Cricetulus griseus: one gene and its partner. The protein of the gene in region 1 purifies or fractionates together with the protein of each later gene. This does not show direct contact. Links are inferred from orthologs where the notes say so. Each region holds a gene or a part of one and is shown in the gene's direction. Other genes may lie near its edges.

Region 1 (3,818 bases):
TTCCTTCTTTCCTCCTTCTTTGTAAACACTTATTCCCTCTGTTTCTGTGTTTTTGTGTCTTGGTCTCTGTCTGTATGTCTCTGTCTGTCTCATCAGCCAGAGGATAATTTTGTTTCTGTCCTTCCCCTATGTGGATTCCAGTTATTGAACTTAGATTGTCAGACTTGGCAGAAAGGACAGTTACTTTCTGAGTCATTGTATGCCACTTCATCTGTGTGTGTGTGTGTGTGTGTGTGTGTGTGTGTGTGTGTGTGTGTGCGTGTTTTCTTTACTTTCAAACCTATTCTCTTACTCCCTCTTTCCCATAACAGACAGAAATGCATATAATGTATGGCCTTTTGTGAAAACTGATTGGTATCCATATATTTCACTCTGTAAATAATGTGGTAGTGTTGTGTTCTGATGCTGGCCTTTCATTCAACACTATTCTTTTTGTTTTCTCTCCTGTTGTATGACCTCTGCTTGCTTGCTGTATGAAGCATATGTCCTTAGTGTCTTGCTGGTCTTCTGACTTCACCGAGGAGCCTGGATTGCCTCAGGCTGCCCCTATACAAGAGCCTCCATCTGTCCCCATAAATCTGTGTGAGGGTTGCGTGGAATGTGCTAGGAAGAGAACAGTCATTTGACAGAAGGAGTGGTAACAGGGTTCCAGAATGGCAGAGACTAGCAGAGCTAAGTGAGCATTCCTGCAGCTTCTCTTGCCCTGTGTGATATTTGCCAATAGCCTTTTTTTTTTTTTCCCCGTGGTCCCCTGTTAGATTGCATTTCTAATGACTCAGCTTGACATAGCCTGATAAGCCAGCTGACCTTTTGCATTTCTTTAGAAAATCGCTTTTTCATACCTACCACCTGTTTGTATATCTGGATGCTTCCAGTGGTAGGCAACAGTTCTTTTTCAGGTTTGAAATTTCAGTGTTAGGAATTGTGGCTTCTTATACTCCACTATTTTTCTGGTTACAATCCTTTTCATCAGTGAGAAACTCTTATTTGGTAATGTGTTGCTAAACTCATCAGTATTTTTGTCAAGGTTTGTGATTTGATTGTATCAATAAATCTTCCTCTCATCATGGCCAGATTCTCGTTTTTTGTTGTTTTTCATAATTATGAAGCTTTGTCTTTGGTTTAAGTTTGTAACTCACTTGAGCATTTCAATATATATATATATATATTTTATATTTGGCATTTGGTATTATCTGTAGTTGGTATTGAATATAGAGCACATTGGTTTTAGGTATCACTTTTATAGTGATGAAAGTGTTTGGGGGAAAGGAGAATTCATTGCAGTGTTTTCAAGAAGTTTGGTACTGGGTATGGTAAAGCATGTTTTGAATTTCCAGGTGATTTACTGAGTAACCTGTTGCAGAGTCCTAGTTCAGCCAAACTGCTGCCCCAGCCTATCCCTGTGCTGGATGTGGAGAGTGAGTATGTCTGTTCCCTGGCCTTGGAGTGCCTGGCCCACCTCTTCAGTTGGATTCCTCTGTCTGCCAGCATCACCCCATCCCTCCTCACCACTATCTTCCACTTTGCTCGATTTGGCTGTGATACCCGGGCCAGAAAGATGGCATCAGTGAATGGCAGCAGCCAGAACTGTGTTTTGGGTCAGGAGCGTGGCCGACTTGGGGTCTTGGCCATGTCCTGCATCAATGAACTCATGTCCAAGAACTGTGTGCCTATGGAATTTGAGGAGTACTTATTACGAATGTTCCAGCAAACCTTCTACCTCCTGCAAAAAATCACCAAGGATAACAATGCCCACACGGTGAAGAGCAGGCTAGAGGAGCTCGATGAGAGGTAATGAGAACAGGCGGGAGTCGTGCCCCGAGAAAGGGCCTGGCTGTTTGTCACACCATGTCATTTGGTGTTTGTAACCCCCCTTTGATTTCAGAGTGTGGGGCTACTGATAAAGATAGAAAGGTAGGTGTTCTAAAATGGTGAGGCTGACCTAGAAGGGCTTGGGTGGTTAAGGGAAATGAACTGAGTGTAATAAGTACTAGTGTATTGTGTAGGCCTGTTGTCTCTTTTCCCCATCCACCCACCTCCTGTCCTCCTGTCCATGCTCCTGTCCCTCTTCCTCACTGTCTGCCTGCAGGTCTCATGTGTGCAGGAAGTGAGAGTGCTGCTACTTCATAGTCGAGAACAGAAGCGGTCTGCAGAGGTACAGGGTTACATCACCCTTCTCACTTGGTACTGCTTGTTGGTTTTCACTATTGAACTTTTCCTGAGTGGACATCTTGCAGAGTATAGGAATGCTATTAGTATTATGAGTGACACATAAATGTTAGTATTGTGAGTGTCACATAAATGATAGCAGTTGATCCAAGATAAGAGATATGTTCGGGTAGGTATGATTTAGTGGCACATACTTGCATTGCTTGGCTTCTGCCCTCTTGACCTAAAATTCCCCAGGCCCATTTTTCTTGAGTACAGAAGATGACCTCGGTGAAGTAGGCCAAGTCAAGGTTTCTTTATTACCTTTGCAGGTGACATTATCTGTTTATCTTAGGGCTTTCTGCTTCTCCCCTCCATCCCCAGTGGTGCTAGGGTGGGACCCAGGACCTTGTGCCTGGCAGGCAGGTCATCCTGCCACTGACCACAACCTCGGCCTTCTTTGCTAAACACAACCCTACTACTGCTATATAAAGGTGAAAGGCAACTGGCAGCTTGTAGTTCTGGCAGTCATTGGGCTGTTGAAGCTTCAAAGCAGATGCAGTGCATTATATTAGAAAATAGTTGTAGACTTCCTAGTGCAAAGTGAGATGAGAGCTTAGCTCTTGGCTTTGTTCACAGTAAGTGTGGTAGGCTATGGAGTCAGCTGCCGCAAGTCAGGATAGTTCTACTGCTCTTTTGAAGTGTGGAGCTTGAAGTTTTTCTGGTTAGAAATTGAGTGAAGGTTAGTTTGGTTTGGTTCATTGTAAATAAGCTTTGTGTGACATTTGCCTTTTATAGTCACAAAAGTACTCATAATCTAATAGGATCTTTTCTTAATAAAAATTTTGTTTGTTACATTTATTTATTTTGTGGTTGGGTGGGGGCACATGCCATGTTGTGTGTAAAGGTCAGAATTGCTGGAATTGGTTTTCTTTTCTACTATGTGAGTCCCTGGGATTGCACTTGGATCTTTAGTTTTGGCAGTAAGTGCCTTTATCTGAGCCATCTCTCTACCCCAGGTAGTATTTTCCCCTCATTATGTAGTTGTACCTTCCTATTTGAATTTAAATGTCTCACAATTCACACAATTTCATATCCTTTCTAGCATTGATAAAGAAAGGCCATCTTATCTTCATATGTTAATAAAATGTATATAACTTCTTATATCAACTGTGTTGTTTTGACTTGTCCTGGATCCGAAGTGAAAACTGAGAGGTGCCTCAGAGGAAGCAAAAAGGTGAAAGAACAGTGTGTGCTTGCTTCCTAGCGCCTGACCCCGACTAATTATAAGCCACTTAGTTCATGTCAGTTGTTTAGGAACTGCTTAACCAGGTCCTTGGCTTCTCTTCCTTCACACCCTTTCTAACTGTTTACTGTTCATTAGCATCTGTACCAGGAAGGTGGGCAAGGGGGAAAAATGAGGTGCAGGCACATCTCTAGCTGTACAGTAAGCTTTGTTCTTCTTTGGGTGGTAACCCCCCTCCCCCTCTTTTTGGACAAGGTCTCAGTACTCTGGTTGGCCTGGAATTTGCTGTGTAGCTCAGCCTGCCTAGGCTTGAACTTGTGGCATCCTTCCTAACCTAGCTTTACTGGGTTTCTAGGATTAACAGCATGAGTCCCCATACCTAGCTTGCTTTTTTCAGTGTGGGATGAAGAGTAAAATAGACTCG
Region 2 (3,380 bases), on another chromosome or scaffold:
TTAATGTCTCGATTAACAAAACAGACTTCATACAAGTTTACCAAAAATTTGAGTTTCTTCACTGAAAACAGTAAGATCCTTAAAAACCAGATTGACCCATGTGCTGTTTCTTCCCATTTGTCAGCTATTACTGCAATGTCTGTGACTGTGTGGTGAAGGACTCCATCAACTTCCTGGATCACATTAATGGAAAGAAACGTAAGACTTGGAGGTAGTTCATGACTGGAGCTAGGATTGGGTTTTAAAGGTCTGGTGGAGGGGAAATGTGGTAGAGTGGTTTTCTTAGGCTGTGTGTGTGTGTGTGTGTGTGTGTGTGTGTGTGTGTTTACATATCTGTATTGCTGAGTATGTAACACAGAGGCTAGAGGAGAGGTTAGCTGATAATCTTTGTAGTAAATGCAGCTGAAAATTACGTGCTTATTATCTGGGACTGCCACTTCTGAGAGCAGCTGAGACCCAGAGCCTCTTTCAGTCATAGTTACTTTTGTTGTGTATTTTATTATGTAAAGGTTAAAGGGGGGAAAAAAAAGCCAGGACCAGACTTTTTGAGGGGCTGAGAATTTTATAATGACTGGTTGCCCTCACTATTAACCTCACCCAGATCAGCGAAACCTGGGTATGTCTATGCGCGTGGAACGCTCCACTCTGGATCAGGTAAAGAAGCGTTTTGAGGTCAACAAGAAGAAGATGGAAGAGAAGCAGAAAGATTATGATTTTGAGGAAAGGATGAAGGAACTCAGAGAAGAGGTGAGACTCTCCTGATCCTGCTCCCCACTTTACAGTTTTACCTTGTGAATTGGAGATGGCCCTCTTCCTTGGCTGGCTCCCCAATCTCCAGTCTTGTTCCTGGATTTCTGTGTACTAGGGCATCCTTGTTTGAGGTTCATGAGAAATGGCTCAAAAGCTATCCATTTCTCTTTAGCTTTTTAGACCAGAGTGCTTTGCGATTATTCTTTTGTTTGTTTGTTTGTTTTAGTTTTTGGAGACAGGGTTTCTCAGTGTAGCCCTGGCTATCCTGGAACTCACTTTGTAGACCAGCCTGGCCTCAAACTCACAAAGATCCACCTGCCTCTGCTTCCCAAGTGCTAGGATTAAAGGCCTGTGCCACCACCGCCTGGCTTATTTGGTTTACTTCCCAATGCCATTGTATCCCCATGAATGCACATATAATGTCCCCTGTACTTCTTATTCCTTTTTAAACTATAAGAGGGACTAAATAAATGGAACTAGTCCCTAGTTGGCCTATGGCTCCAGGTTATAGGGTCAGAATCCTTTTTCTTCCATTTGTTTGCATCAATTCTGGGGAAGTTGAATAACCTCAGTGTACTTCATTTTCTGCATGGGAAATCTTTGAATAATATTTACACAGAACTGAGAACAGATCTTAGCATACGCTGCATGCCCCATGATGTTTTCTGGTTAGAACTAGAGATGAACTAGGGTGTATAATTAAACTCCAGAGACTTAATTTCTTCTTATCCCTTAAAATCTTTTCTTACAATCTACCCCCATTGCTGTCCTGGGAATCAGTCTCAGGGGCTCATACAAGCTGAACAAGTGCTTTATCACTGACCTTTTAATCTTTACTTGTGGCTTTTATCGTGCTTAACGATGGAAAAGAATCTTGAAGCTCACATATCTCTTTCAACAATATCAGCTCTGGAATGAACTGATTCTGAGTAATTTTTTCTCCTTTGCCCTTTAGGAGGAAAAGGCTAAAGCATACAAGAAAGAGAAACAGAAGGAGAAGAAAAGGAGGGCGGAGGAGGACTTGACATTTGAGGAGGATGACGAGATGGCAGCTGTGATGGGCTTCTCTGGCTTTGGTTCCACCAAGAAGAGTTACTGAGGCATTCTCTTTGGCCTAACTTTGGCCTATACTGGACCTAACTTTGAGTGTGTGTCGAGGTGGGGTGGGGTGTCATTTCTTTTTTGGTACTGGAGAAAGTCCTTAAGAGTGTTAATGGGCAGGGCTAGAGGGTGGGTTTTTGTGGTTTCCCTCTTCCTTGGGGATGAAGAGGTGATGCTGTGGCAGGTTCCGTCAGCCTCAGTATATTACTGGAGCCACAGAACCTCTGCCCATCTGTGTTCCCAATAAAGAAAGACCTCCCTCTTTGAGGCTGCTTTCCCAACTTCCCCTGCATCTTTCCCTCTTCATCTATCCAGCCTCTTGTCTGAACATCCTCCTTTTCCCTGTGTTCTGCTTTTGTTTTAATCTTTACTCTTGTTCAGCTTGCAACAGAAGGGTTATCTGGGTCTCCAGTATATGGGTGCTGGCCTACCCTTGGTCAGCTCTTCCTCCCACCCCACCCAGCGGCTCTCTAGCCACCTGTGCATGCCTGTGACTTCTGCCTGGGTCAATGTGTGTGTGGGTATGTGTGCATGATACGTCACAAAGAGGGGCCTGAGCTAGAATCTCAGAGCATTGCTGCCCTGGGGCCTAATGTTCTTGGTTTCCTTGGTGCATGTAACAGGAAATTAAATGGGATGAGTGTTTGGTGTTGCTTGTGTCTGGTGAGTTTTTAACCTTGTTTCACTGAGGATTTCTGTTTTTGTCTTCCTCGGGAACAGGTTCTTGGAAGAACCTGTTTGATGCAAAAAAAGAATGAAAACAACAAGACAAAAGAACCCTAAAACCAAACAAACTCTGGGAAACCTTGGTTCTCAGACACTGTTCAACATGTACAATAAATGACACTGACTGGGCCTGTTTCACATTCGTTGGGAACATTTTCATATCATCCCCTTTCCCACAACTTCCTATACTAAGTAAGGATTTCTACATAGAGCCTTTCCCTTTCATTTGAAACCTCTCCCCTCCCCTTCCAGTATAGGTTTCTTCAATGTGGGTTTCCCCCTGTGTTAATAGGATCTGTCCCCTTGACAGTCTGAACAAAACAGTTTGGCCTCCTGTAATTTTAGCATCCTCTGATTCTACCAGAAATGCTCAGGGTTGAACCTAACTGTCTGCAGTTGGGCAGGCGCTGGGTTACTCAGTCTTGGTACTGTTGACGATGAGCAAGGTAAGTCTTTGAGGTTTTTGTTTTGTATTTTTGAGACAGGGTCTTAACTTGTCTGGCCTTGAACTCGGAGATCCACCTACCTCAGCCTGTTCAATGCTGGGATTAAAGGTTTGTGCCTCCATGACTGGCCAGGTCTGTTCTATGTACTGTAGGATGTGGAGCAACATCCCTGGCCTCCACCTAAGTAGATGTCTGTAGCACTCCCTTCCATTCAATTTGTGACAAAAGTACTTTTGATCCCTGGGAATGGGTAAATGGCTCTCCCATTGAAAATGACAAAGAAACACTGGTGTAGCTTTTAAACTCCATGACATAGATTAGTCAACAAACTTGCACCCCTCCCCCCAACTCCCTGGA

The links.
Region 2: the proteins of Xpo6 (region 1) and Zmat2 purify together in Homo sapiens (co-immunoprecipitation; 3 studies listed by BioGRID and IntAct, with this or other methods). This does not show direct contact. The link is inferred for Cricetulus griseus from reciprocal best matches to the Homo sapiens genes XPO6 and ZMAT2.

The regions. Positions count from the first base shown.
Region 1 is NC_048596.1:74,657,330-74,661,147, forward strand, and holds part of Xpo6 (exportin-6), read left to right. Parts: intron 1-1,337; coding exon 1,338-1,791; intron 1,792-3,818. UniProt on the Homo sapiens protein: Mediates the nuclear export of actin and profilin-actin complexes in somatic cells.
Region 2 is NC_048595.1:200,730,698-200,734,077, reverse strand, and holds the end of Zmat2 (zinc finger matrin-type protein 2), read left to right. Parts: intron 1-124; coding exon 125-198; intron 199-601; coding exon 602-747; intron 748-1,705; coding exon 1,706-1,849; 3' UTR 1,850-2,717; downstream 2,718-3,380. UniProt on the Homo sapiens protein: Involved in pre-mRNA splicing as a component of the spliceosome.